Linked DNA regions of Anolis sagrei. The protein of the gene in region 3 purifies or fractionates together with the protein of the main gene of each other region. This does not show direct contact. Links are inferred from orthologs where the notes say so. Each region holds a gene or a part of one and is shown on either strand. Other genes may lie near its edges. The genes, in order: STK26, STK24, SLMAP and STRN3.

Region 1 (6,877 bases), on a different chromosome or scaffold from region 3:
GCTCTCACAGTCAGGTTTTAAACAGAAGCTGGTTGGCCATCTGTCAGGGTGCTTTGAATGCAATTTTCCTACTTCTTGGCAGGGGGTTGGACTGGATGGCCCATGATATCTCTCCCAACTCTATGATTCTATGAGGAACTGCAAACTTGGCTTAAAAAGTTCGAGGACCCTTGCTTTAAAAGACATCATTTCCGTCCAAGCTAAATGCATTTGTTGTTGTTTCGATCCAAACTTCCCGCACAACAATATTCCTTATTCTTGGCCATTGATCCTCACCCCACTCATCCAGGCAGAACATTTTGTGGTCCTGTGCAAAGCCAGTTTTTGTTGATTTTACATTAAATAAAAAAGTCACTGTCAAGTATGTTTTGGGGTGGGTTTTATTTATTTTTTGCAATGGAGCCCAAATTTAATTGTAGTTGGCAACGTTTGGGGAACATTCAAAGGTATGCATTCATTGGGCTTCAGAGTGTCCATTGAGTCAAATCCCTATTTCAGGAGTTGAGTTTCGCCAATGTTTGGAATCCCTCCCTATGTTTATTCTCTTTTACAGTATTCCCATTCCGTTCAGTCCGCTTTCAAATCCTGAATTTCCTGCTGGCCTCCTTGGACCCACAGGCTAAAAATAGCCTAAATGCCATCCATTTCGGTGGAGTGGAAAATAACCAAATTGGACGGAGAACCGCAATATGTTTTCACTTACAGTACTGTCTTTCACTGCTGTGGATGCAGTCAAAAGATGTGTCACAGGGCGCATCCACACTGTAGATTTAATGCAGTTTGACAGCACTTGGACTGCCAGGCTCAATGCAGCGCAGAGAGGGATAAAGACCCCGACAAACTACAACTCTTGAGATTCCATAACATTGCAAAGTAAAAACAAAACAAAATACTGAAACCCCCTTTGGCCCACCCTGTATATATAAATATCTTTATTCATCCCCAGCTCTTCATTTAAACACGTATCCCCCTCCGGAATGCACCCCCAAATTGCCCTCACTTCTATTGACTCCCATTCTTAGGTCTCCTGTGTTCGTCCTCAAAAAAAACCCCACTTGAATCCTAGTTCCTCCTTCAGTTGCCACCGACACACCTCACTTGTGTCGTCAAAGGGACCCTATACATTTCTCATGGTTCCTTCTGAACCCCCAAATTTGCCCCATTATCCTCCTCAGCTCCATTTAATTCCACTACTTCCCCCCACCAACTCTCTTGACCACTCTTTGCTTTCTTCTCCTCCTTCCTTCTTATGGCTTCCTCCTCCTGTTCTCTCTCTACTTCTTTCCCTTTTCCTCTACTTATGGCTTCCTTCCTTTTCCTCCCTCCGCTCCTTCTTTCTTTCTTCTTCTTCTTCTTCTTCTTCTTCTGGCTTCCTCCTCCTGTTCTCTCTCTCCTTCCTTCCATTTTCTTCCTCTTATAGCTTCCTTCCTTCCTAACTCCTCTTTTCCACCTTCCTTCCTTCCTCCTCTTATGGCTTCCTTCCTCTCTCCTTCCTTCCTCCTCCTTCTTGTGTTCTCCTTTCTCCTTCCTCCTCTTCTCTCTCCTTGCTTCCTTCCTGCCTTCTTCCCCCTTCTTCTTCTTCTTGTGGTTTCCTCCCTCCTTCCGCCTCTTCGCTCTCTCTCCTTCCTACCTTGCTCTCCTTCCTTCTTCTTATGCTTTCCTTCCTCTTTCCTCCTCTTCTCTCTCCTTTCTTCCTTGCTCTCCTTCTTCCTCTTTTGGTTTCCTTGCTCCCTCCCTCCTCTTCTTCATACCCTTCTTCCCCTTCCTTCTTCTTCTTGTGGTTTTCTTCCTCTTCTCTCTCTCTCTTCTTCCTTCCTCTCCTTCCTTCTTCTTCTCTTCATGCTTTCCTTTCTTCTTCCTACTCTTCTCTCTCCTTCCCTCCTTGCTCTCCTTCCTCTTCTTCCTACCCTTCTCAGCCTTCCTTCTTATACTTTCCTTCCTCTTTTCTCTCCTTCCTTCCTTCCTTCCTTCCTTCCTTCCTCCTCTTATGGCTTCCTTCTTCCCTCCTCTTCTTCCTACCCTCCTTCCCATTCCTTCTTCTTCTTGTGGTTTCCTCTACCCTTCCTCCTCTTCGCTCTCTCTCCTTCCTTCCCTGCTCTCCTTCCTCCCCTTTCTTCTTCTTCTTCTTCTTATGGTTTCCTCCCTCCCTCCTCTTCTCTCTCCCTTCCTTGCTTTCCTTCCTCCCCTTATGGCTTCTTTCCTTCTTCTTCCTACCCTTCTCCCCCTTCCTTCTTATGGTTTCCTTCCTCTTCTCTCTCCTTCCTTCTGGCTTCCTTCTTTTTCTTCTTCCTACCCTTCTTCCCCCTTCCTTCTTCTTCTTATGGTCTTCTCTCTCCTTCCTTCTCTTATGGCTTCCTTCCTTCTTCTTCTCCTTCCTCCTCTTCTTCCCCCTTCCTTCTTATGGTTTTCTTCCTCCTTCCTCTTTTCTCTCCTTCCTTCTCTTATGGCTTCCTTCCTTCTTCTTCTTCTTCCTACCCTTTCCCCCCTTCCTTCTTCTTCTTATGGTTTCCTTCCTCCTCCCTCTTTTCTCTCCTTTCTTCTGGCTTCCTTCTTCTTCTTCTTCTTCCTGCCCTTCTTCCCCCTTCCTTCTTCTTCTTATGGTTTCCTTCCTCCTTCCTCTTCTCTCTCCTTCCTTCTCTTATGGCTTATTTCCTTCTTCTTCTTCCTAACCTTCTTCCCCCTTCCTTCCTCTTCTCTCTCCTTCCTTCCTTGCTCTCCTTCCTCCTCTTATGGCTCCCTTCTTCTTCCTATCCTTCTTCCCCTTCCTTCTTTTTCTTATGGTTTCCTTCCTCCTTCCTCTTCTCTCTCCTTCCTTCTGTTATGGCTTCCTTCCTTCTTTCTTCTTCCTACCCTTCTCTCCCTTCCTTCATCTTCTTATGGATTTCTTCCTCCCTCCTCTTCTCTCTCCTTCCTTCTGTTATGGCTTCCTTCCTTCTTCTTCCTACCCTTCTTCCCCCTTCCTTCTTCTTCTTATGCTTTCCTCCCTCCTTCCTCCACTTCTCTCTCCTTCCTTCCTTGCTCTCCTTCCTCTTCTTCCTACCCTTCTTTCCCTTCCTCCTTCTTCTTATGGTTTCCTTCCTCCCTCCTCTTCTCTCTCCTTTCTTCCTTGCTCTCCTTCATCCTCTTATGGCTTCCTTCTTCTCCTTCCTCCTCTTCTTCCCCCTTCCTTCATCTTCTTAAGGTTTCCTTCCTCCTTCCTCTTCTCTCTCCTTCCTTCTGTTATGGCTTCTTTCCTTCTTCTTCTCCTTCCTACCTTTTCCCCCCTTCCTTTCTTCCCTCCTTCCTCCTCTTCTCTCTCCTTCCTTCCTTCCTTGCTCTCTTTCCTCCTCTTCTTCCCCTTCCTTCTTCTTCTTATGGTTTCCTTCCTTCTTCCTCTTCTCTCTCTTTCCTTCTCTTATGGCTTCCTTCCTTCTTCTTCTTCCTACCCTTCTTGCCCCTTCCTTCTTCTTCTTATAGTTTCCTTCCTCTTCTCTTTCCTTCCTTCCTTGCTCTCCCCCCTTCCTTCTTCTTTGTATGGCTTCCTTCCTCCTTCCTCTTCTCTCTCCTTCCTTCTCTTATGGCTTCCTACCTTCTTCCTTCCTTCCTGGTCTCCTTCTTCCCTTTTCTTCTTCTTATAATGGTTTCCTCCCTCCTCTCTCCTTCCTCCTCTTATGGCTTCCTTCCTTCCTTCTTCTTCTTCCTACCCTTCTTCCCCTTCCTTCTTCTCCTTATGCTTTTCTCCCTCCTTCCTCCTCTTCTCTCTTCTTCCTTCTTTCCTTCTTGCTCTCCTTTCTCCTCTTCTTCCCCCTTCTTTCTTCCACTTATGCTTTCCTCCTTCCTCCTCTCTTTCCTCCTCCTTCTCCTCCTGGGCCTGCCCTCTTCAGGGGCGGAGGCTGAGGAGAAAGAGGCGAGGCCAAGAAGAGTGAGGCGAGGCGGCGAAGGGGGGAAAGGGAAGGAGAGAAGGCCGCCAGGAGGAAAGAACCAGGCCGGGCCTTCACTGCTGCTGCTTCACTTCACTTCTGCCGCCGCCTTTGGCCGAAGGAGGGAGGCGCAGAGAGAGGGGGAGCGCGCTACTCGAGGCCGGGGCTGAGGCGGAGGCCTAGGCCTCCCTCCCCTCCTTCCCTCCTTCTCTCCCTCCATGATGGCGTCCTCCTGAGACGGAGGAGGCCCTTCCTTCCGCGCCGCCCGGGGGAGCGGGTCATGGGCTTCGGCGCCGGAAGGAGACGAAGAAGAAGAAGAAGAGGCAAAGAGAGGCAGGCCCAGGTGAGGCCTGGCCTCGGGGATTGGGGGTTGTGTGTGGATTTGGGGTTGTGCTCCTCCCCATAGAAGAGTTGCCAAGTGGGCTTCTTGTGTGTGGATTTGGGGTTGTGCTCTTCCCCATAGAAGAGTTACTTGTGTGTGAATTTGGGGTTGTGCTCCTCCCCATACAAGAGTTGCCAAGTGGGTTTCTTGTGTGTGGATTTGGGGTTGTGTTCTTCCCCATAGAAGAGCTGCCAAGTGGGCTTCTTGTGTGTGGATTTGGGGTTGTGCTCTTCCCCATAGAAGAGTTACTTGTGTGTGGATTTGGGGTTGTGCTCCTCCCCATACAAGAGTTGCCAAGTGGGTTTCTTGTGTGTGGATTTGGGGTTGTGTTCTTCCCCATAGAAGAGCTGCCAAGTGGGCTTCTGGTGTGTGGATTTGGGGTTGTGTTCCTCCCCATAGAAGAGCTGCCAAGTGGGCTTCTTGTGTGTGGATTTGCGGTTGTGTTCTTCCCCATAGAAGAGCTGCCAAGTGGGCTTGTTGTGTGTGGATTTGGGGTTGTGTTCTTCCCCATAGAAGAGCTGCCAAGTGGGCTTCTTGTGTGTGGATTTGGGGTTGTGCTCTTCTCCATAGAAGAGTTACTTGTATGTGGATTTGGGGTTGTGTTCCTCCCCATAGAAGAGTTGCCAAGTGGGCGTCTTGTGTGTGGATTTGGGGTTGTGTTCCTCCCCATAGAAGAGTTGCCAAGTGGGCTTCTTGTGTGTGGATTTGGGGTTGTGCTCCTCCTATAGAAGAGTTGCCAAGGGGGCTTCTTGTGTGTGGATTTGGGGTTGTGTTCCTCCCCATAGAAGAGTTGACAAGTGGGCTTCTTGTGTGTGGATTTGGGGTTGTGTTCTTCCCCATAGAAGAGCTGCCAAGTGGGCTTCTTGTGTGTGGATTTGGGGTTGTGCTCCTCCCCATAGAAGAGTTGCCAAGTGGGCTTCTGGTGTGTGGATTTGGGGTTAGGGTTAGGGTTAGGGTTAGGGTTAGGTTGTACTCCTAACTCATTGGGTTAGGGTTAGGGTTAGGGTTAGGTTGTACTCCTAACTCATTGGAGAGTTACTAAGGGGGCTTCTTGTGTGTGTATTTGGGGTTGTGCTCCTCCCCATAGAAGAGTTGCCAAGTGGGCTTCTGGTGTGTGGATTTGGGGTTGTGTTCTTCCCCATAGAAGAGTTGCCAAGTGGGCTTCTGGTGTGTGGATTTGGGGTTTTACTCCTAACCCATTGGAGAGTTACTAATGGGGCTTCTTGTGTGTGGATTTGGGGTTGTGCTCTTCCCCATAGAAGAGTTATTAAGGGGGCTTCTTGTGTGTGGATTTGGTGTTGTGCTCCTCACCATAAAAGAGTTACTAAGGGGGCTTCTTGTGTGTGGATTTGGGGTTGTGCTCTTCCCCATAGAAGAGTTATTAAGGGGGCTTCTTGTGTGTGGATTTGGGGTTGTCCTCCTCCCCATAGAAGAGTTGCTAAGGAGGCTTCTTGTGTGTGGATTTGGGGTTGTGTTCCTCACTTTTTCCCACAGGCCAGGGATTCAGGAGGCTGTGGATGAGGGGTTGTGTTCTTCCCCATAGAAGAGTTGCCAAGTGGGCTTCTTGTGTGTGGATTTGGGGTTTGCTTGCCCATAGGCTAGGGGTTCAAGGGGACTGTGGGTGAGGGGTTGTGTTCTTCCCCATAGAAGAGTTACTAAGGGGTCTTGTGTGTGGATTTGGGGTTGTGTTCCTCCCCTTTTCCCATAGGCCAGGGGTTCAGGGGGCTGTGGATGAGGGGTTCTGTTCTTCCCCATAGAGGAGTTGCTAAAGGGGCTCCTTGTGTGTGGATTTGGGGTTGTGTTCCTCACCTTTACCCATAGGCCAGGGATTTAGGGGGCTGTAGATGAGGGGTTCTGTTCCTCCCCATTGACTAGTGACTGTAGGTTGGGGTTTTTCCCCATAGAAGAGTTGCTAAGGGGTGTATGTGTGGATGAGGGATTGTGTTCCTCCCCATAGAAAAGTTACTAAGGGAATTTCTTGTGTGTGGATTTGGGGTTGTGTTCCTCTCCTTCTCTATAGGCCGAGGGTTCAGGGAGACTGGGGATGAGGGGTTGTGCTCTTCCCCATAGATTAGTGTCTGAGGAGGCTTCCTGTGTGTGGATTTGGGATTGTGTTGCTCTCCTTCCCCATAGGCCAGGACTTCAGTCGAACTGTGGATGAGGGGTTGTGTTCTTCCCCATAGAAGAGTTGCTGAGGGCGCTTCTTGTGTGTGAATGAGGGGTTGTGTTCCTCTCCTTCCCCATAGGCTAGGGATTCATGGGGATTGTGGATGAGGGATTGTGTTCCTCCCCATAGAAGAGTTGCTAAGGGGGCTTCTTGTGTGTGGATTTGGGGTTGTGTTCCTCTCCTTCCCTATATGCTGAGGATTCAGGGGGACTGGGGATGAGGGGTTGTGCTCTTCTCCATAGACTAGTGACTGGGGAAGCTTCCTGTGTGTGGATTTGGGATTGTGTTGCTCTCCTTCCCCATAGGCCAGGGGTTCAGAAGAACTGTGGGTGAGGGGTTGTGTTCTTCCCCATAGAAGAGTTGCTGATGGGGCTTCTTGTGTGTGGATGAGGGGTTGTGTTCCTCTCCTTCCCCATAGGTTAGGGATTC
Region 2 (7,414 bases), on a different chromosome or scaffold from region 3:
ATCAACCCCAGAACCCTCAGTCGACTTATCAACTATCAATGTGAGTTGATAGTTTGACACCATTCTCTGAGTGGTGTCAAAAGGTGAGAGTTTAGTCTGTCCCAAGAGGAAATTTTAAAAACCGCACAGGCCCCTCTCTCTCCACATTTTTGAAATACCTGGGTGGGGAGATACATCTCAAGTGGCATTGGTGCTTTCCCCCTCTCATAGAATGAACTTCAACTTATTCATGGGTCATGTCAAAATCCATCATTTTGGTCCCAAAACCTGCCCTTAACTTATAAACTATTAGTATATTCAGCAACGAAATCGACTTACAGACTATGAGTATACAGGCAGTCCGCAAATTACAAATAACGTAGGTTCTGTAGGTGTGTTCTCTAGTTGAATTTGTATGTAAGTTGGAACAGCTACATTTTTAAGTGTAACTCCAGTGAGAGAGAGAAAGAGAAAGAGAGAACGAGGTTTGGATGACATAGGGAAGGGTTAACACCCCTCTGGTGCTTGTTTTACTGTCTGTGCCCCTGTACAGAAGATTTCACCTCACTTTCTGTCCCTGTGATTTGGAAAAAATTGGCTTGTTGAGGAAACAAGGATTAGTGATAAAATTTCAGTGGAGACATATTTTCCCCATGATAGGAGTGAATTTCCCTTCCGAAGGGTATATTTCTTTTACTTCCTGTTGTTTCATGCTCGTTTGCAACTATGAGTTGTTTGTAACTTGAAGCTGCCTGTATGCAGCAATATCTTTCTGATCCAGGGTATGGGAGGGAGAAATTAACTAAAGACTGGATCTTGAATTCTGTGTGTGTGTGTTTGAGAATGGAAGTGGGGAAGAGCTATGCACAACTATGGGTGAATAAGAAGGGGGAGGTTTTTATGAAGACAGCAGGCTGTTGTTCTGGGGGGCAAACCGAGTACCCACTGCTGTTATAAATACTGTGGGTCAAATGTATTTTCTCTACTTATATCACAGGATATATACACCAAAATTGGATTACACTGTCCCAAGGATTTCAAAAGCTTTCACTTGCTGTTAACCAGTGAACTTGGCCCCTAGCTAATGCTATGCACAGGGGCTGTCAGACAGGAAGTAATGAACTCTGCAGCAGGAAGTTCTTAAGCAAGGATGCATCTACACTGCACAATTAATGCAATCTGACACTATCTTAGCTGCCACGGCTCAATGCTTTGGAATTATGAATGCTGTGGTAATACAAGACCTTTAGCCATCTCTGCCAAAGAGTGTTGGTGTCCCACCAAACCACAATTCCCAGCATCTCAAAGCATTAAGACACAGCAGTTAAAATAGTGCCAAACTATATCAATTCCATGGTCTAGATTCACCCTAAGCCTTTCATTTAAGGAAATGCAATGAAAATTATCAGTCCTTCAGTTCACGCTTTTCTTAGAGCTAGTATGCAGTATTGGAACTCTCTGCCCCAAACTGTGGTGGAGGCTCTTTCTTTGGTGGATTTTAAACAGAGGCTGGATGGCCATTTATTGAGGTGCTTTGAATGTGATTTTCCTGCTTCTTGGCAAGGGGTTGGACTGGATGGCCTACGAGGTCTCTTCCAACACTATGATTCTAGCAGTTCAATATTCAGAACAAGACTTGTTCTGTTCTATGAAGATGCCTGGTTAACTCCACCAAAGATAAATATATTTCCATATACTCCCTGAAGCTTGCACCCTGAATATGCCTCCCCTTCATTCCCCCACAGGCATGCCTTAGGAAGAAAAGGAAGCACACTTCTCCACAGCCCAGCTCCCCTTTCTATTACCTCCCTTTGTGCATGTCCAATCTTTCCAGCCAAAACAAGACCAAGGGGCTGCTTTCTGCTGCTGCAGCCGCTGAAGGACAGGCAGAAGAAATGTTACCACTAGGTCACTATAACTGGTGTGTGCACCCACCTCTTCCTCTTTGCTAGGCCAGAACATGGAGGGAGGCTGTCCTATCTATCCTTTAAAGCAGGCATGGGCAAACTCCAGCCCTCCAGGTGTTTTGTGCTTCAACTCCCACAATTCCGAATTGTGGGTGTTGAAGTACAAAACACCTGGAGGGCTGAAGTTTGCCCATGCCTGCTTTAAAACAATCCCACCCAATGCACTCCCATCCACAACAAATATTGCCTCAAGGACACCATCTCAGTGTTGACTTGCCCGAAATGGACAGCAAGATAGATAATACAAGGAAGAAAAAGGTAAACAAGAAGCCTGTACATCTATCCAACAAGGGCAAAGGGAGGGAGGCACTTCAGATTATTATTGTTAGTATTATAATCCAGGACACGCTGAAGGTCAACTCTTCTGAACTGCAGGGGTTTTGTTTAGGGCTGGATAGTGCATGAAAAACCCAATTACTGTGCAAGCCCTTAGGAGAGAGAAGCAGGGTGGAAATGGGATATAATCGATGTTAGCAGGGGAGGGAGGGGGGAGAGGGGAGGGATGGCGACCCCTAACTCAAGGGAGAGGAAACCCACAGGCAAAGTATGCACACACACAGAGACACAAATGCCGCTTGGCTTCCTGGGGAAAGAGTGGTCACTCCGTGGTGCCTCTATTGCAAGCCCCGCCGCCTCCTCCTCGAGCCTTGAAGGCCCTTCCCAAGGAGAGAGCCTGCCTGGAGAGGAGCCTCCTCAGGAGAAGGGGCTGCGCAGGAGGCGAGCGCGCATGCGCGGCGGGGAAAACGGCGAAAGGCCCCTTCCTCAGGCTCACCTGCATCCCCGGCAGGCCCGGCTGCTGCACCGGCGAGTGGGCCATGATGACGGCGGAAGCCCCGCCGCCGCCGCCGCCTCCTCTTCCTCCGCCACCGCTGCTGCTCCCGCTGCCTCTCCAGCGCCGTGGCCTTCGCTTGAGGAGGAGGAGGAGGAGGAGGAGGAAGGGGAGGAGGAGGAATCACCTCAGCCCCATCGCCTCCCTCCCCCGCCCCCAGCAGCGCCCCACAGAGAGAGACAGAGCGCGAGGGAGAGAGGCGGGCATGCGCAGAGCAAGAAGGGGAGGGGTTTTCGCCACCCGGCCTTCTACGTCACGGTTGGGGCGGGGCCACGTAGACCCCGCCTCCCGAGTGCGTCACCAAGCGAGTCGGTTTCTCTCTTTCTCATTCCTCCCCTCCCACTACGGAATGCAGAGTCGTAGTCTCGCGAGATCTCTCACTTTTGTAGGCAAAGGGTATTGCTGCCACTCTTAACTAGAGAGAGGGAGGCGGGCATGCGCAGAGGAGGAGAGCAGCTTTTGCCACCCGGCATTACGTCACGGAAGGGGCGGGGCCGTGTAGACCCCGCCTCCCGAGTGCGTCACCAAGCCAGTCGCTTTCTCTCTCGCTCTTTCTCATCTCCACCCCACCACTATGGAATCCCGGGAGTCGTAGTCTCGCGAGGTCTCCCACTTTAGTACCCAGACGGTATTGCTGCCACTCTTAATTGCTCTGGGCGGGCATGCGCAGAGGAAGAGAAGGGGAGGAGCTTTTGCCACCCCGCCTCCTACGTCACGGGCGGGGCGGGGGCCGTGTAGACCCCGCCTCCTCAGTGCGTCACCACGACGGTCGCTTTCTCTCTCTCTCTCTTTCTCATCCCCCCTCCATGGATTCCCGGGAGTCGTAGTCTCGCGAGGTCTTCCACTTTTGTAGGCAAAGGGTATTGCTGCCACTCTAAACCGCCCTGACTCAAGGCTGTGGAAGCATTGGAGTTGTAGGAGAGCCCCCGGGGGAGCAATGGGTTAAACCTTTGTGCCGGCAGGACTGCTGAACGACAGGTCAGGGGTTCGAATCCGGGGAGAGAGGGTTGAGCTCCCTCTGTCAGCTCCAGCTCCTCATGTGAGGATATGAGAGAAGCCTCCCACAAGGATGGTAAAAAACATCAAAACATCTGGGCGTCCCCTGGGCAATGTCCTTTGCAGACGGCCAATTCTCTCTCACCAAAAGCGACTTGCAGTTTCTCAAGTCGCTCCTGACGCGAAAAACCCCTCAGCCTTCCCTGCCAATGAGTGCTACAGTATTACCGCTCCCATGATCCCACAGCATTGCAAGTGGTGCCAAGCTGCTTTTATTCTAGGTTGCTGTGAGTTTTACGGGCTGCGTGGCCATGTTCCAGAAGATGTTTCGCCTGCATCTATGGCAGGCATCCTCAGAGGTTGTGAGGTCCTCTGAGGATGCCTGCCATAGATGCAGGCGAAACGTCAGGAGAGAATGCTTCTGGAAGATGGCCATACAGCCCGGAAAACACAGCAACCCAGTGGTTCCAGCCATGAAAGCCTTCAACAATACATTGAATCATAGAGTTGGAAGAGACCTCGTGGGCCATCCAGTCCAACCCCCTGCCAAGAAGCAGGAAAATCGCATTCAAAGCACCCCCAACAGATGGCCATCCAGCCTCTGTTTAAAAGCCTTCGAAGAGGGAGACTCCACCACACTCCAGGGCAGAGAGTTCCGCTGCATAACAGCTCTCCCAGTCAGGAAGTAATGTTCAGGTGGACTCTCTTTTCTTGTAGTTTGAAGCCATTTTTCCGCATCCTAGTCTCCAGGGCAGCAGAAAACAAGCTTGCTCCCTCCTCCCTGTGACTTCCTCTCACATATTTATACATAGCTCTCATGTTTCCTCTCAGCCTTCTCTTCTTCAGGCTAAACATGCCCAGCTCCTTAAGCTGCTTCTCATAGGGCTTGTACTCCAGACCTTCCAGACATTGCTTTCTTTCTAAATGATGTTGCAAGCTCACATCGTCCCAACAATCTTGTACTTTTAGTATTTCTTCTGTGGGAAATTGCCCAGTGTGGAATACATCTCACGATGTTAAAACAGTGGATGTGGTTCCTAATGAGAAATGCTGCATTATCAGAGGGCCACAGTTTGGTGATGCCTGGTGTAGATTGAGGGAAGTCATGTTACCCCTCTATTCTGCTTTGGGCAGAAACACCTGGAATACTGTGTCCAATTCTGGACACCACAATTCAAGAGAGATATTGACAAGGAAGGTGTCCAGAGGATGGTGACTAAAATGATCAAAGGCCTGGAGACCATGTCCTATGAGGAGCATCTTAAAGATCTGGGTCTGTTTAGCCTGCAATAGAGAAAGTTAAGAGGAGACATGATAGCCAAGTATAAATATGGTTTTTTTTGGTCGTGTCAGGAGTGACTTGAGAAGCTGCAAGTCGCTTCTGTTGTGAGAGAATTGGCCGTCTGCAAGGACGTTCCCCAGGGGACGCCCGGATGATTTGATGTTTTATCATCCTTGTGGGAGGCTTCTCTCGTGTCCCTGCATGAGGAGCTGGAGCTGATAGAGGTAGCTCATCCGCCTCTCCCCGGATTCGAACCTGCGACCTGTCGGGTCTTCAGTCCTGCCGGCACAGGGGTTTAACCCACTGTGCCACCGGGGGCTCCTAGTATAAATATGTGAAAGGATACCATAAGGAAGAGGGAGCAGGCTTGTTTTCTGCTGCCCTGGAGAAGAACTTTCTGACCATGAAAGCTGTTCAGCAGTGGGTCTTTGCCTCAGAGTGTGGTAGAAGCTCCTTCGTAGGCTTTTAAGCCGAGGCTGGATGGCCATCCATTAGGGGTGCTTTGATTGGGCTTTCCCTGCATGTCAGAGCGCTGGACAGGGGAGTCTCTTTCAACTCTATGATTCTAATGGGGTTGTTGTATGCCTTCAAGTCATTATTGGCTTATGGAGACCCAAAGGTAAATCTATCACAAGATTTTTGAACTTAAAAGGTCCAAGTGTGGATTCACACCTGTTTTCCAATGCCATAGTCCAGTGTTCAAACCATTATGCCACACTGGCTTCCACTTTACAAATCTGCCATAGTAAATAAGGGACAGCGAGTTCCAGTTTAATTGTGTATTCCATGCCGCCGCAATGATTTTTAATGTTTGGCGCTTAAATACAAGAACAAGAAAAGAAACACATCAAAGTAAATCACACCAGTGTCTTACATAAACTAGGATGCAAATATCCCTTCAGTTATCTATTTGTTGCTGTGAATGGGTTAATGGTAAATAACAATGAAAGCAAAACAAATAATTTTAGAAAATATAATCTCAATAGGATTCTATGTATTTGCATAGATAACAAGAAAATCTTGGATTTGTTCATAACAATCCTTCCCTAGGCAATCACTGAATTCCTTTCGTGGGATGATCAATTATCTTAAGTTTCTGCGTTAACCTAGTTACTGTGTCACACCCAGAGCCAAACTCTTCAACAATTAAAATAATTGGTGTTGATCAAACTCATTGCAAAAACGTAACGACACCAAAGGCAGTCTAATTAGGCCAAGGAAGAATTTCATAGCCACATCTTTCTTCACTGCTTTTCTGCGGCCGGTTGCTAGGATCATCCATCTCCATATTCTAGAAAATATGTGCCACTGAGTAGCAATTATGCCATTAATGTTAGACTCGACGTTGTCATCTTAAATATAAACACCCCATTAAATACAGTGTTTAGTACACTGATGTGTATCACGTCACTGAGATGTATTATTTTACTTTTTTTTCAAAATGTATTAAATTATGCTCCTTTATTGTTTCATGATCATACATTAGAAGCCCCAGCCACAAAAGGGCATTCTTGTGATTGCACAATATCATGGTTAGTAGCTAAAGATTTTCCCCTGACATGAAGTCTAATCATGTCCAACTCTGGGGGTTGGTGCTCATCTCCATTTCTAAGCTGAACAGCTGGCGTTGTTCATAGACACCTCCAAGGTCATGTGGATGGCATGACTGCATGGAGCGCCATTACATTCCCGCCAGAGTGGTACCTATTGATCTACTCACATTTGTATGTTTTTGAACTGTTAGGTTGGTGGTTCAAATCCACTCCCCGGATTTGAAGTGCCAACCTTTCGGTCGGCAAGTTCAGCAGCTCAGTGGTTTATCCTGCTGTGCCACTGGGGGTTGTCACTTCAAACCAATGTTCAACTCATTTCTAGGCTGTCCTTCTCCATTAAAGGGGTGGGGAGAGAGAGACTCTCATATTTAGGCAGCAGAAAGCGTTTCAAAAAAAATGTCAATGTAGTGCAATAGACCAACCGCATCAGCAAGTTTGAGACATGTACATATTCTTGTGGTCATCATTTTTCTTCACTTCCCCACCCACAAGCTGCTGGCTATCCCTCTTCCAATAAACAGCCAGAGGGGACCTGCAAAGCTGTAACTTCCCACTTTCTCCCCATCTTCTTCATTTTCCAAATAATTCGAGTAACCGCAGTTTCACAGGTAATTCCAGGCACTAACAAGGTCTTCCCTTGTTGATCAAGTATTTCCTTAAGTTTTTTGCAAGGCTTTGAATTGGATTATATGAGCCTACATTGCCAGATAATCTGGGACCCTGGGATATAGAGCAGTGTAGATCCAGCCAAAAGCAGCACTTATAGCAGGCATGGGCAAACTTTGGCCCTCCAGGTGTTTTGGACTTC
Region 3 (7,532 bases):
CCTCATCTATACTGACCATTTAATGCAGTTCAAAGCTAGCTTCAAACTGTGGTGGCTAGAGAATAAACCTTCACAAAAAATGTTTTAAAAGCCCTTAACGTGCATCAATGCTCTGTGGTTTGGGGAATCATCACCCAGGCCTTCAACTGGTTCCAGGATTTTCCTAGGTAATCATATGTACATTGAAACCACTTTCTTCAATACTGATTTGAAACTGTATTAAATTGTCAGTGTAGGTGGGGCCCAAATCATATTTACACTCATTAGAGTAGACCAATTATGTCTATAGGATGTGTTGTCTCACCATTCAACAACTGATTGAAAGAGACTACTCTGCTTGGGACTAGCCATAGATTTTGCATTCACAGATTCAACTGCTCTTATTTTTACTGATAAAATGATTTAAAACTATTTAATTAATTAATTAAATTTGTTTTCCACATGACAACTTTCAAATATGTTTTGTTTTAGTCATTTTAGGTCCCATATTTGAAGGAAGGCAGGATATGAATTAAATAAATACAACAGAAAATCCATTATGGGGAAAAAAACATGAAATAGCTGTACAGTTCCTTTGAGTTGTTAATATGAGAAGTGCTACATTGAGAAATGCCTGAAGCATTGTGTTGTACTTCCACTTCTCCTTAATATATTCCATGTGGTAAAGATGATGTAATTAGTAGTGGAAAAACAAAGGAGGCTTAGAAGAACAACAGTCTCTATAGACCCTGTAAAATTCCAGCAAAAAAAGGGCTATTGGCAAGTATCTTACTTTCTTAACTGTGAGTTACTGTGATGTTCATGGAACTTAACAGTTCCATGAACATAAACCTACTTCTGAGTAAACAGTCAAAGAGTTAAATGGAATTTACTTCTGGGCAGCACTAAAGTAAATCTAATGCTAGTAATATTTATTGAAATAAAGAGGACCTAGGATAACTAAAACAAAACAAAATGACCATAGGTGATTTAAATAATCTTAAAGTAGATAATTAAAACATTGAACTAGGTCAGTATCTTCCATAACTTCGTCCAGTCATCAATCAGAACAGAGACTGTAGGCAAGAAATCAGAAGAAGACTACTACGACAAATAATAATACATTTTATGTTACTCGGTTCTCCTAACAGCTTGAGGTTAACAGTCAAAACATACGAAAATAAAATACATATAATAAAATATATCAATAGAAATGCACCATTATAAAAACATACATCAAATACAGGGTACAAAGATGAACATATAGCAGTAATAGAATTCAAATCCAAAATTCATGTTTCAAAGTTGACTGGGTAGGTCTGACCGAAGAGATAGGCCTTTAATTTTGGTTTAAATTTGGACAGCTCTTAAATTTGTTGGTCCTCTGGCAGATCATTCCAGAGTTTTGGGGCAGCCAATGAAAAGGTCCTCTGGGTGACAGTTGCCAGTCAGGTTCTGGTTGGTTGGAGTAGCTGACCACCAGATGACCTCAGTGTCCTAAGAAGGTGACCCTGTAGGTAACCTGGACCCAAACCATGTAGGGAGCTACAAAGGCTTGGAAGGGAAATTATGAACTAAATAAGATCCTGAATTGTAAGGATATATTATTAAATACTAAAATTAGAATTGCCCATGCCATCATGTTTCCAATTTCTATGCATGGTTGTGAGCGCTAGAAGCAACAAAAGCTGATAAGAAAAAAAATGAAATAATTTGAAATGTGGCGGAGAAAGGTTCTATGGATACTGTGAACTGCTGAAAAGACAAATGAATTAATTATATAATAAATCAGGTCTAAACTCTCCTAAAAAGCCAAGATGACTAAACTGAGACTGTTGTATTTTGGACTTAGCATGAGAAGACATGACACACTAGGAAAAAAATGACAAAGCTTGGTTGAGGATAGTATGAAAAGACTGCAGGTGGATGGATTCAAAGAGACGGTAAGCAAAGAGTCAAAGGCTTGGAAACCAATCCCTATGAGGGAGCTGGATATGTTTAGCTTGGAAAAGAGAAGATTGAGAGGAGATATGTTTGTCATATTTAAGTGCCTGAAAAGATGTCACACTGAGGAGGGGGCAGGCCTGTTTTCTGCTAGTCTGGAGACAAGGAGCAATGAATTCAAACCAAAGGAAAATAGATTCCTCTTAAACATTAGGAGGAACTACCTGATGATAAGAGCTGCTTGGCAATGGAATATGCTGCCTGGAGTGTCCTTCTCTGGGGGTTTTAAAGCAGAGGCTGAATGGCCAACTGTCGGGGGTGCTTTGTTTGTGCTTTCCCTGCATGGCAGAATGGGATTGGACTGGATGGCCCTTGGGATCTCTTCCAACTCTATGATTCTGATTCATTAATGGGGCCACCGTAAGCTGAAGTTAACTCGATCACAACATGACTAAAAAGGCCCATCAATTTCCACTTTAGATGGTGCCAGCACTGGATTTAAATCCAATGTTAATGCAATGATGACTGCCAGAAATCTTGAAGGAACACAGGCATTTTTTTCACAGGCAAGGGACACTTAGAGCCCTTCTACACAGCCATATATCCCAGAATATCATGGCGGAAAATCCCACAATATCTGTTTTGAACTGGGATATATGGCAGTGTGGACTCAGATAAGCCAGTTCAAATCAGATATTGTGGATTATCTGCCTAGTTATTGATGACTCCACACTGCCATACATCCAAGTTCAAATCAGAAAACGTGGGATTTTATTCAGCTGTGTGGAAGGGGCCTATGTGTTAGTTTTCCCAGATCCTGTCTCAGAAATACAGCCTGGAGTTAGTTGGCAGCCTCCCATCCAAGGTCCCTTCCACACAGCCATATAACCCAGAATATAGAGGCAAAAAACCCCACAATCTCTGCTTTGAACTTAAATATATGGCAGTGTGGACTCGGGGTCCTTCCACACAGCCCTATATCCCAGAATATCAAGACAGAAAATCCCACAATATCTGCTTTGAACTAGGTTATCCGAGTCCACACTCCGATAATGTGGGATTTTCTGGGATATAGGGCTGGGTGGAAGGACTCCTGAAGTTTTCAGATTTTTGGACCATTTTCAACCCCAAACTATTCAAATTTGCCCTCGGACATGGTGCTTTTTCTTCAACATCCAGTGACTGTATTTCTATACACAAAAAGATTGTCTACAGCTGACATCATGAAGTGGCATAAAAGTATTGCAAGGACAAGAATTGGCCTTTATTTGCAAAATACTTGGCCACTGGGAGTGAGACCTACTGAAAATGGTAAAATGCTGAAGAAGGCATGGGGAAGATTTTATCATGTTTTGAAATCTGACACATTTATTGTGTTTTTATGTGCAATTTTGTGGTTTGTTAATTAGTGCCTTCGAAAATGAAATTTATTTATTTATTTAGAGCTTTTATAACCCGGTCTTCTTGACCTCTGAAGAGGGACTCAGGGCGGCTAACAGCAGAAAATTCAACACAAATATAGCAAACATAATATTTATTATTTATTACTTATTTATTTACTTTGCTTATATACTGCTGTATCTCAAGTCCGAAGGCGACTCACAGCGGTTCACAAACAGTAAAAACAGTAGAAACAGCAGTGGTTCCATACAACATATAACAATTGACTTAACACATTATCCATAAATTACCAATAAGCAATTACAATGCACAATTATTACAAAATAATTAATTAATAGCATCATAATACATTAATACAAAATACACTAAAATACAGATCATACAATATCATACAATTACAAAAGCCAGGGCTGGTTAATTTGTAAAATCCGAGAAAATGCCATGAACGAAGGCCTCATCTACCCTGACCATTTAATGCAGTTCAAAGCTAGCTTCAAACTGTGGCGGCTAGAGAATAAACCTTCACAAAAATGTTTTAAAAGCCCTTAATGTGCATCAATGCTCTGTGGTTTGGGGAATCATCACCCAGGCCTTCAACTGGTTCCAGGATTTTCCTAGGTAATCATATGAACATTGAAACCACTTTCTTCAATACTGACTTGAAACTGTATTAAATGATCAGTGTAGGTGGGGCCCAAATCATATTTGCTCTCATTAGGGTTGATATCCTGGGATATAGGGCTGTGTGGAAGGGCCCCAAAACTAGCCAGGACAGGCCCTGCTCGGCCTCCAAGACCAGATGGGATTTCGGTGAGGGCATTTGGCACCACACAGGTGTCATGGATCCAGGCTGTGGGGCAGTCCTGATCTTTGAAACATTCTGAATTAACTTTTTAGTTCCCCTGAGGACAGCGAGAGCATTATTTTGCCCGCCTTCCCATAGAAGACCTTTCCCCGCTCGCTCTGGATAAAGGACAACACTGAACTTCAACTAGGGCAACAACCTCCTCTTGTGTTCCCGAAGAGATCCGGAAGCGGCCCGGTTAGTTCAGGGCAACCAGCCGGAAGCCACAGGCTTCGCGTCCCCTTTCCGCGCATGCGCTGCCCGGGCGCGCTGCGGCTCTGCGCCTGCGCAGAGGAACCCGGGCGTCCCTGAGCTTTGCTTTCGGCTCCTCCCCCTGCTCGGCTCCCTCCTCCCCCTCCCCCTCCCTCCCTCCCTCCTGCTGCTGCTGCCATACCGGGTAGGTTTCCAGTCAGTATGGCGGCTCCCACTGCGGCTGGGAAGGTAAGAGCGGTTGGCGAGGGAAGGGCAGGGAAGGGAGGGGAGGAGGAGAAGGAGAAGGAGAAGGAGAAGAAGGAGGGGAGCTTCCCGCTTGGCTGTCCTTCCTTCCTTCCGCGAAGGGCGGCCCTCTTTCCTTCCCTCGCTCGCTCGCTCTCTCCTGAAGTGGGAAGGCGGCGGTTGGGCCGGCCTCCCCTCCCCGCTTCAGCTTCCCCGGCGTTTGTTTTGACGCTTCTCTTCTCTTCTTTTTCCCACAGGTCGGAGGAAAGTTTTCCTCGTCGACGGACTCCTGAGGGAGGCAGAAAGCGAGAGAGAGAAGGTTGGGAAGGCAGGCAAGAAGGCGCCAGGCCTGCACCTCAGCCAAGAAGAAGAAGCAGCAGCAGCAGCAGCAGCAGCAGGAGACACCTGCAGTGCCCTGGCCCCTCTCCTTCCCCTTGGCCATCGCCTGCTGTCAGATCTGCCTCCCTGCTCAGGAAAGGCCACCGCCTGGGATGCCTTCCCAGGTGCATGGAGCCCTCTTGGCCGGGAAGAGCGCTCCCCTGCCTCCCAGGAGCATTGGGCGGCCGGCCCTTTGAGTCCTCCTGCCTGGGCCTGAGGAGGAGGAGGAGGTGGTGGTGGAGGAGGACAGGCTTCTTTCTCCCTTCGCCTTGAGGTGCCTCACTCTGCCTTGATGCCCGAGGAAGACGAGCCGTGGACTCACCCCTGGACTGGGCTGACCACCTTTTTCTCACGTTGGGTTGTTTTGCAGTCCTTTGGCCCTTCCTTCCCCCGTTTCCCCACTCCCTGAATCTTGCCCCGCGCGAGGGAAACTCCTGGGCCCTGTTGATGGAAGGGAAAAGCGCGATTACATCCCAAACAGGAATTTTCGCGTGAGTCATTCGCTTGGAGTTATAGCCATCCCCACCTTAATTTAACAAGCTCTGTTCCTCTTCAGATGCTTGTCCTCATTATTGACAGACATGGATTAAAGTGGAACTTTGCAGACTCGCTGCCGGAGACAATGGGGCTTTTTTGCTGGATTATTGCCCGCACTGGTTCACACACTGAAAGTATGCGTTGTTAGATCTCACTGGCAGATAATGTTTGCCCTGCTTTAATGTGAAGTGTTGCGAGGTTTTTGCTCATCAACTGTGGAGGGTGGCTTGGGTCAAGAAGAGTTTCTCTTCTTTCCTGGTTGGTGTGGCACCGCATATCTCTCCTCGATGCCTTCAGCCTTGGCTATCTTCACTTGCCGCCCGAACTCTCACCCGTTTCAAGAACGCCATGTCTACCTGGATGAGCCTGTCAAAATTGGGCGCTCAGTGGCTCGATGTCGACCCGCTCAGAATAATGCCACCTTTGACTGCAAGGTCCTGTCTAGGAACCATGCGCTTGTCTGGTTTGATCAGAAAACAGGAAAGGTAAGACACCCTACATTCCCCAAGAGAAGTAAAATAAACTTTGCATTTCCTTGTTTTCATTAGGGCAGTGGTTCTCAATCTGTGGGTCCCCAGATGTTTTGGCCTTCAACTCCCATAACTTGAAACGTAAACTCCCATAAATCTTAACAGCTGGGATTCCTGGGAGTTTTAGTAGATTCATGGGAGTTTTTGTTTATTTATTATTTATTTATTTACATCACTTTTTTCCCGCCCATTTCAGCCCGAAGGCAACTCAGGGCGGCGTTCAAATCGGCAACAATTACATGCCGTATATAAATACATACATCAGTTAAAAGCAAAAAATTACATCAAATACATTAAAAACCATAAAAGCAATAAAAACAATAAAATTATAAAACTATGTCTTCCTGTTCAATTCCTGTAGTTTTAGCAATTACACAAGTGGGGGAACTTCAGGGGCTCATTTCTCCCTCATTTTTACAGCTGTTGGGGAGGAACTTGCTACAATGGTAGAACACATTTACCACTGTTAGCCCATCAAGTGTCAGAACATTTCACTTAACCACAATATTTTGGGGAAATTTCAAAGATTTTACGAACAACATTTAAAAATAAAAGCTGCAAGAACTATCTCCTTGAATTGTCTATACAGTGACCCAAAATAATAGGGGATCATTTTCCTCAACTTTAAGAAATATTCATACATCTACTGATTTTAGGAATTTTTTTGACAAAAACCTTTTTTAAAAAATAGCTACAACATTGAATGTCTCTCATATTAACTAATAGAAGAAAGAAATATTAACCAATTCTTCATTTTCACAAAAAATCCTAGAGTTGGAGGGGACCCCCAAGGGACAACCAGCCCAGTGGTTCTCAACTTGTGGCTCCCCAGGTGTTTTGGCCTACAACTCCCAGAAATCCCAGCCAGTTTACCAGCTGTTAGGATTTCTGGGAGCTGTAGGCCAAAACATCTGGGGACCCACAGGTTGAGAACGACTGATCTAGCCCAACTCCCTTCTTCCAGGTAGAAGGGCACCATCAAAACTCTCCTGGCAGGTGGCCATCCAGCTTGTAAACCAAGGGCCATCCATTTAGGGATTTCTTCCCAGCCCAGCACTGATTTAAATAAATAAATAAATAAATAAATATTATTATTACTTACTAGAAGTATCCCCAAAATCCTGGGGACCCACAGGTTAAGAACGACTGCGTAACTGGTTGGCCTTGCTTGAGCCTCATAGACTAAAACTCAGAATTAACATTTAATAAATGGCATCTACTAAATAAATATGGATAAAGGTGTCCTAGCTGTTTTAAGCTTTTCTCAGTACAATATTGAACTATGATTATTGGATTTGGATCCATGTTAGGTTACTTACTTATTTGTTTGACATAAGTTGTATTTAGCTTTTCACATTTATTGATTTCATTGGGGCCTAACTACGACAACTAACCTAATTTAGAGCCTCAACAGTATTTTCTGAATGACTGTAATCATATCAGGTGCTATGAAGGATTTGAGTTTTTTTTAAAAAAAACACACA
Region 4 (7,972 bases), on a different chromosome or scaffold from region 3:
AGAGGGGAACAGGAAATAAAAACAAAACAGATTTGAGAGTGGCAGAAAACTTTTTTTTTGTATTCTTGCCTCTGATCTGGCCAAGCAATAATCCCAAAGGTCCTTCTGAAGAAGCAAATTCATAGAAACTGTTGTAATTTCTATATAAATTTGTAGTGTGTACGTTTCTGTCCAGGGCAAATGCATCTTTGCTTTAGTGTTAAAGAATCTTTTCAAAAGGTAAATCACTGCCCCTGGATGTTTCAGAAGAAGCAATTAAGCCCTCCCCCTTTGCTAGAAAATGATAGCCTGGAGGAGTCCAAGGTAGTGCTGGGACAAAAATAGCCCATAAGCACTACGATCCTATGCACATCTACCCAGAAATAGCCAGATTAATAAATACAAAATAATAGTCTTAATTTTAAATACTAATCTACACTGTCAAGCAGCTAAATAGGAGCTAGAAAACGGCAGATGGGACAATTTCACTCAAGAAAGCCTACTGGCTTCGAAGTGCAAATACCTCTATCATGGTACCATAATATTTCTTGCTGCATTTGGATTACACATAACTATGAGTAGCTGTGACCACCACAGTGTAATTCACTGCCAACTTTGACTCTGAATTCTTTTGTGCTCTATCATTTGCCTCATGCTTGATTTTATTTATAGATGAGTGCTGGGTTTCCTTACAGAGAGCTTACTGAACATTAATCACTAACAGTGTGAAAAAATAACTTAATATTTCTATAATTTATAGATAAAGACAAAAATTGCTTAGAGGATATTAAGGTCTTTTAACAGCGCATTGGAGGCCCTCTTTCCTTATAACAGCTCCAACTCCAAATCACAAGAGAACCTTTAAAATCCCACAAAATGGATTGTGGTCATTGCTAGCAGCTTTAGTTATGACACTTCTGTGATGAGACAGAATAGTGACTGAAAGGTGAGATATAGCTTAAACACAGATCACAAAATAAATTGTAAACAATATTATAATGTTGAGGTCTTCTTAATTTTGAAGCACCTTATATTCAACAACACCAGATTTGGGTCACCTTTTTCCTACCATGGAAGCTAAGGCAGTGTTCAAAGAGGCTAAAATATAAATATACCGTATATACTCGAGTATAATCCAACCCGAATATAAGCCGAGGCACCTAATTTTACCACAAAAAACTGGGAAAACATATTGACTCGGGTATAAGCCAAGGGTGGGAAATGCAACCACTACAGGTAAATTTCAAAGTAAAAACAGATACCAATAAAATTACATTAATTGAGGCATCAGAAGGTGAAATGTTTTTTAATATTTACATAAAACTGTAATTTGAGATAAGACTGCCCAATTCTGATTAAATCATTACATATCTTCAATGTAAATGTACTTACGTATCCTTCCAACAATAATAAAGAGAGTGAAATAATAAATATAATAATAATTATAATAATAAAGTAAAATAATGGAAATGCAATAATAACAGTAGTAATAGAGTAGAATAATAAATGTAATAATAGAGTAAAATAATAAATGCAATAATAATAAAGTAAAATAATAAATGTAGTAATAATAATAGGGTAAAATACTGTAAATGTAATAATAATACAGTAGAATAATACATGAAATAAAAATAATGCTAATAGCAGAGTAAAATAATAAATAACCTTGACTCAAGTATAAGCCGAGGGGAGCTTTTTCAGCCTAAAAAAAGGGCTGAAAAGCTAGGCTTATACTCGAGTATATACAGTAATTGCAATATTTAATTCTAGTTTATACATTGATTTCAAGACTGTGGCCTTAAATGTCTAATTACCTTAAGCAAAATTTCTTTTGAGACTTCCTTATGCTCAATAATTTAAAGCAGGAAAGGACACTTTACCATAGTCCATTTGTTAAAGAACCATTTGTTAAAGAAAACCTACTTTTAAGTGCTCTTTCTGTGAAAATATAAAGTGCAACATATATATAGTTTGTTTATCAAGCTTTTCCTTTTAAGAAACAGAGCCAGCCTGTAAAGAGGACTGAGTAATTTGTGAAAGGCCAAAGAAGGCATGTTCCCTGAAGCTCTAACTCTGCTTTAAACAACTCCACAATGGAGTTTCTACAGATGGAGTTTCCAAAGCTACCCTCGAGGGATTACTCAGAAAGCCCTGCCTCCTTATTCAGTGAGAGGTTAGCCTCGCTTAATTTAATCTCATATTCATAGTAGTAATTTGATACCAGTAGCTGGCTGCCTGTACTTGTTTCTATTTGCTGCCTTGCTGCTTTTGGTGACAGTGTAATAATAACAACAGCAGTGGTAGAATCAATCTGCTTCATGTCCTGGGGGAGAGAATAAGTGTACAGTACATGTGGTGAGAGAAGTGGCCTTCTTGTCCATCCAAGAAGTCAGTTACAGACATGTGAGGAATGCAATTGGAATGCCAAGAATCTTTTACTGGCATAACCCAGCATCAGGGAAACCATTTTAAGTGAACGAAAGGGGCAATAAACAGTAGCTTCCCCTGAAAGATGATGAACTGCAAGTGAAATTACTATAAGCAAGAGACTTTAGAAGGGAATTGGACTGAAGCATGGAAAGTAGATGTCTGCAGTCATTTAAATACTTACTAACAGTGCAAAAATTATTTTCAACAGCCCATCGTTTCTTCCATTTCTCTATCTTTTGAATGATAACAGGTCATATTTAGTGTGTTCCTGGGTATAATGCCAGTTCAAACATTTAAGAGGCACTGATAACTGAAATACCAGCAATGTTCCACTTTTCTGCAAAGGTTAACATCTGACATAGGCCTTCTTCATGTGGGGAATGTACTCTGCACATGCCCAGATAATGTACATCTACTTCTCATGTTTCAGGCAGTTCCTTTGTCAAGTAAAGTCCTCTTTACAGCTTCCAGAAGCTGTGAGAGTGTGAGTGATTTTACACTATAGAGTTTCATGTCAAGTTGACTTGATTTTTTGAAAAGGGCAGCAAGAAAATGGCAAAGAGTCAGAGATGCAAATCCTGTACTATCGTGTTCAGATTTCATATCGATGTCTGCAGTGTGGAGGATAATGGCTAATGTGTACTGAACTATCAAGGAGCATTTTGAACACTTTGAAACACTTCACAAGTGTAAAACATTAGCAGGTTGAGTAACTCTTATCTAGAATTCTGAAATCTTCCAAAATTCAGAAATGACAATGACATTTTTGGCTTTCTGAGGGTTCAATGTACACTTCGCACAAAATCATTTTTTTTAATTGCCTACAGAGTATATGTACAAGGTGCACATGAAACATTAACACATTTGTGTTTAGTCTTGAATCTCCAAAAGAGCTCATTATATATGCACAAATATAAATATAGCAGTTCTAAAAATATGAAATCAGAATACTTCTGGTCCTAAACATTTTATATATTACCCAGTCAATTTTAAACCATGTCTTTATAGGTGTTTTGGACTTCAAACTCCCACAATTCCTAACAGCTGGTATTTCTTTCTTCTACCAGCTGTTAGGAATTGTGGGAGTTGAAGTCCAAAACACCTGGAGGGCTGAAGTTTGCCCATGCCTTATCTACACTGTAGAAATATATTATTATTATTATTATTAAACTTTATTTGTACACCGCTAGCATCTCCCGAAGGACTCGATGCGGCTTACAAAGGCCAAGGCCTCAACACACAATACAACAATACAAAACCTAGGCAAATTAAAAACAATTAAAGCAATCTAAACAACAAGCAATGAACAATCCACTAAGACAAAATAAAACTGGGCCGGGCCAGAGTAAGGGTACAAGAGTTAAAAGTGCTGATGTGACAGGTGGAATATGAGGCTTATGGGCAAGTCCAGTGTGCGGCGGTCTTAGCTTTAATAAAATGCTTATGGGACTTGGTATTGGAGGTTTCCTATTCGGGGAAGGCACATCGGAACAGCCGTCTTCAAGTTCTTTCTGAAGACTGCCAATGTAGGGGCCTGTCTAAGATCTTTGGGGAGGGTGTTCCAGAGTCGGGGGGCCACCACGGAAAAGGCCCTGTCTCGTGTCCCCACCAAACGCGCTTGCGACGCAGGTGGGATCATGAGCAGGGCCTCTCCAGATGAACGAAGAGAGCGCGTGGGTTCGTAGACAGAGATATTCTGCATTATATGGTCATATATTTATTTTTATTATATATATATATATATATATATAATATTGTATTATATATATATATATAAAATTAATATATACTATGTATTCTATAATATATTATATTATATTCTGCATTATATGGTCAGCTGTTAGTCCAAAACACCTGGAGGGCCAAGTTTGCCCATGCCTGCTATAAAGGCTAGCTTTGTCCCTTTTTTTACCTCATAGGGGAACAGGTGAGAGGCCGAGGAAAATGAGATTGAAAAGAAAACAAACCCGCCCAAGAAGAGTGAGCGAGCCAACCTCTCCCTCTTTTTCTCTCTTCAGCTTCCCTCAGACACGGTCGCGCATGCGCACGCACGCTTCCCTCAGACACTCGCGCACCTGGGCCGAAGTTTGCCCATACCTACATTATATGGTCAGCTGTTAGTCCAAAACACCTGGACTATGACTGCGATAAAGGCTAGCTGTGCCCCTTTTTTACCTCATAGAGGAACAGGTGAGAGGCCGAGGAAAAGAATGACATTGGAAAGAAAACAAACCCGCCCAAGAAGAGCGAGCGAGCGAACAAACCTCTCCCCCTTTCTCTCTCCTCAGCTTTCCTCAGACACGGTCGCGCATGCGCACGCACACTTCCCTCAGACACTCGCGCACCTAGCCTCGGCTTCCCTCGGACACCCTCGCGCACGCGCACGCCCGCGTTCCTCGCCCCGGCTTCCCTCAGACTCCCTCGCGCATGCGCACGCCGGCGGTCCTCGCCTCGGCTTCCCTCAGACGCACTCTCTCGCGCAGGCGCATATCACGCCGACTCCGGAGCAAGGCGGGTGCTCTTTCCCAGCATGCCTTGCTAGCCTCCTCTCCTCCTCCCCCCTCCCCACCGTGTGGGTGGGTGAGTGAGTGAGCGAGCTGAGAATGATGGAGCGGAGGCTGTAATGGCGGCCGGCGGCGGCAGAAGCAGCGGCTCGCCTTGGGCGCTGCTCTGACGCGCGGCTCTCACCCAAACCCAGTCCCCGGCTCTTTCCTGGCAGACTGCGCCTCTGAAGGAACAAGCGAGGCGGAAGGGAAAGGGGGGAAAGGAGCGGGAGGGAGGACAATGGACGAGCACCCCGGCGCCGGCGGAGGGACCATGCCCAGGGCCCCTCAGCAACAGCAGCAGCAGCCTTTGCCTCCCGCGGCGGGAAATGCCAACTCTCCGCTGCTCGGCCCTGGCTGCGCGGGGCCTGGAGGGGGCTTGCCGCCTCAGCAGCAACAGCAGCAGCCACCTCAAGGCCCGGCGCCGCCTCAGGAAGCGGTGGGCCCCGGCGGAGGAGGGGGAGGAGGGTCGGAGCTGTCCCGGCCTCAACACTACACCATCCCGGGGATCCTGCACTACATCCAGCACGAGTGGGCCCGCTTCGAGATGGAGCGCGCTCACTGGGAAGTGGAGAGGGCCGAGCTCCAGGTAAGGAAGGAAGGAAGGAAAGGGGAAGGGGGCATGCTCTCGGGGCGTGACGTGGGGGCACTACAGCTAACGTGTGTGTGTATGTTGCGGCGGGGCGTGGCGGGGCGTCGTCGCCGTCACTCGGCACAGTCCCCCCTGCCTGCCTTCCTTTCCCGGGGCAGCCATTTTGGTTGCTTCGCATGGCGCCCGCCGGGGCCCGGGCCTGTCAAAGGAGCCCCCGTCCAAGAAGTGAAGGCCTCTCGTTCCCGCTTCTCCTCTCGGTTCTTCCTCGGCCTCCAAACCTGAGGCACACCACATCCTCCCCCCCCCCCCTCCCCGGAGCCGCTCTTTCTGACCATTTGTTGTCCGGAAATGGACGAACCTTTCCGAGGCCTTTCGCGGCCTAGCGGCTCCATCGAATGCCGCTCCAAACCTGTCATCCCGACAGGAGGAATTTAATGTATGGTGAAGGCTTTCATGGCCGGAATCACTGGGTCGTTGTAGGTTTTTTCGGGCTATATGGCCATCTTCTAGAGCAGTGATTCTCATTCTGGGGTCCCCAGATGTTTTTGGCCTTTAAAAGGCATTTATCAGGCATGGGCAAACTTTGGTCCTCCATTTGTTTTGGACTTTAACTCCCACAATTCCTAACAGCCAATGTGGTGGAGGCTCCTTCTTTGGAAGCTTTTAAACAGAGGCTGGATGGCCATCTGTCAGGGGTGATTTGAATGCAATATTCCTGCTTCTTGGCAGGGGGTTGGACTGGATGGCCCATGAGGTCTCTTCCAACTCTTTGATTCTATGATTCAACTCCCAGAAATCCTAACAGCCAGTCAACTGGCTGGGATTTCTGGGAGTTGTAGGCCAAAAACATCTGGGGACCCCAGGTTGAGAACCACAGTTCTAGAGGCATTCTCTCCTGACGTTTTGCCTGAATCTATGGCAAGCATCTTCACTACCTCTGAGGATGCTTGCCATAGATGCAGGCGAAACGTCAGGAGAGAATACCTCTAGAACATGGCCATATAGCCCGAAAAAACCAACAACAACCCAAGAGGAATTTGTTCATAAATGACAGCGCAGATGGGTGCCAAAGTGCATTGATTCCACAGCACTGATTCCAAAAATCAGCAGGAAGGAAATACGTGCTCTAACCGCATTCTCAAACGGTGACACTGACTGACTAACCCCATTGTACACTGCTCAGAATCCAGTTTGAAACTGCATTATATGGTCAGTGTAAGCTCATTCAATGTAGCCTACGCTGACCTTATGATGCCATTTGAAACTGCATTATATGGTCAGTGTAGACTCATACACTGACCATACCATGCAGGTATGGGCAAACATCTCCCACAGTTGGCTGTTAGGAATTGTGGTAGTTAAAGTCCAAAACAAATGGAGGACCAAAGTTTGCCCATGCCTGATAAATGCCTTTTGAAACTGCATTCTATGGTCAGTTTAACTTCATTCAATGCAGCCTACACTTACCATGTAATACCATTTGAAACTTCATTGTATGGTCAGTGTAACTTCATTTAATGTGATCTACACTGACCATATAATGCCATTTGAAACTGCATTATATGGTCAGTGTAAGTTCATTCAATGCAGCCTACACTAACCATATAATACCACTTGAAACTTCATTGTATGGTCAGTGTAACTTCATTTAATGCAGCCTACACTGACCATATATTGCCATTTGAAGCTGCATGATATGGTCAATGTAGGCTCATGCCATGCAGCCTAAACCGACCACTTAATGCAGGCATGGACAAACGTTGACCCTCCAAGTGTTTTGGATTTCAACTCCAACAATTGCTATCAGCCAGTAGGCTGTTAAGATTTGTGGAAGTTAAAGTCCAAACACCTGGAGGACCGAAGTTTGCCCATGACTGATATAATGCCACTTGAAACTGCATTATATGGTCAGTATAAGTTCATTCATTGCAGCCTACACTGACCATATAATGCCATTTGAAACTGCATTATATAGTCAGTGTAGGCTCATATAATGCAGCCTACACTGACCATATAATGCAGTTTCATACTGCATAATGCAGTTTTACACTGATTGTATAATATTGTTTGAAATGACATGCTATGGTCAGTGTAGTCTGCATTGTATGAGCCTACACTGACCATATAATGCAGCTTCAAACGGCATTCTCTGCAGCGCAGATGGGGCCAGTGTCACCGTTGGAGAGAGTGCATCCATCATCACTCAGAGCACATATTTCCTTCCTCCTTGCTATTATTTCTGAATAATGGCAAATGGTAGATTTGTGTGAAGTCCAAAGGAGTGGATCAATTACAAATTAAATGGGATACGATTATTTCTGAAAGTGCATCTACACTGTGGGATCAATGCAGTTTGATACCCATTTCAGCTGCCAGGGTTCAATGGCATGGGATCATGGGAGTTATGATTTTAAAAGGCCTATAGCCT

The links.
Region 1: the proteins of SLMAP (region 3) and STK26 purify together in Homo sapiens (affinity purification with mass spectrometry; 5 studies listed by BioGRID and IntAct, with this or other methods). This does not show direct contact. The link is inferred for Anolis sagrei from reciprocal best matches to the Homo sapiens genes SLMAP and STK26.
Region 2: the proteins of SLMAP (region 3) and STK24 purify together in Homo sapiens (affinity purification with mass spectrometry; 6 studies listed by BioGRID and IntAct, with this or other methods). This does not show direct contact. The link is inferred for Anolis sagrei from reciprocal best matches to the Homo sapiens genes SLMAP and STK24.
Region 4: the proteins of SLMAP (region 3) and STRN3 purify together in Homo sapiens (affinity purification with mass spectrometry; 5 studies listed by BioGRID and IntAct, with this or other methods). This does not show direct contact. The link is inferred for Anolis sagrei from reciprocal best matches to the Homo sapiens genes SLMAP and STRN3.

Annotation. Positions count from the first base shown.
Region 1 is NC_090030.1:23,304,070-23,310,946, forward strand, and holds the start of STK26 (serine/threonine-protein kinase 26), read left to right. Parts: upstream 1-3,858; 5' UTR 3,859-4,242; intron 4,243-6,877. UniProt on the Homo sapiens protein: Serine/threonine-protein kinase that acts as a mediator of cell growth. Modulates apoptosis. In association with STK24 negatively regulates Golgi reorientation in polarized cell migration upon RHO activation.
Region 2 is NC_090023.1:115,845,908-115,853,321, reverse strand, and holds the start of STK24 (serine/threonine-protein kinase 24), read right to left. Parts: upstream 3,010-7,414; 5' UTR 2,764-3,009; coding exon 2,719-2,763; intron 1-2,718. UniProt on the Homo sapiens protein: Serine/threonine-protein kinase that acts on both serine and threonine residues and promotes apoptosis in response to stress stimuli and caspase activation.
Region 3 is NC_090022.1:57,663,137-57,670,668, reverse strand, and holds the start of SLMAP (sarcolemmal membrane-associated protein), read left to right. Parts: upstream 1-4,516; 5' UTR 4,517-4,609; intron 4,610-4,860; 5' UTR 4,861-5,805; coding exon 5,806-6,003; intron 6,004-7,532. UniProt on the Homo sapiens protein: Associates with the striatin-interacting phosphatase and kinase (STRIPAK) core complex, forming the extended (SIKE1:SLMAP)STRIPAK complex.
Region 4 is NC_090021.1:298,719,163-298,727,134, reverse strand, and holds the start of STRN3 (striatin-3), read left to right. Parts: upstream 1-4,957; 5' UTR 4,958-5,193; coding exon 5,194-5,541; intron 5,542-7,972. Other genes in the region: AP4S1 (AP-4 complex subunit sigma-1), read right to left, coding at 4,585-4,589. UniProt on the Homo sapiens protein: Calmodulin-binding scaffolding protein which is the center of the striatin-interacting phosphatase and kinase (STRIPAK) complexes.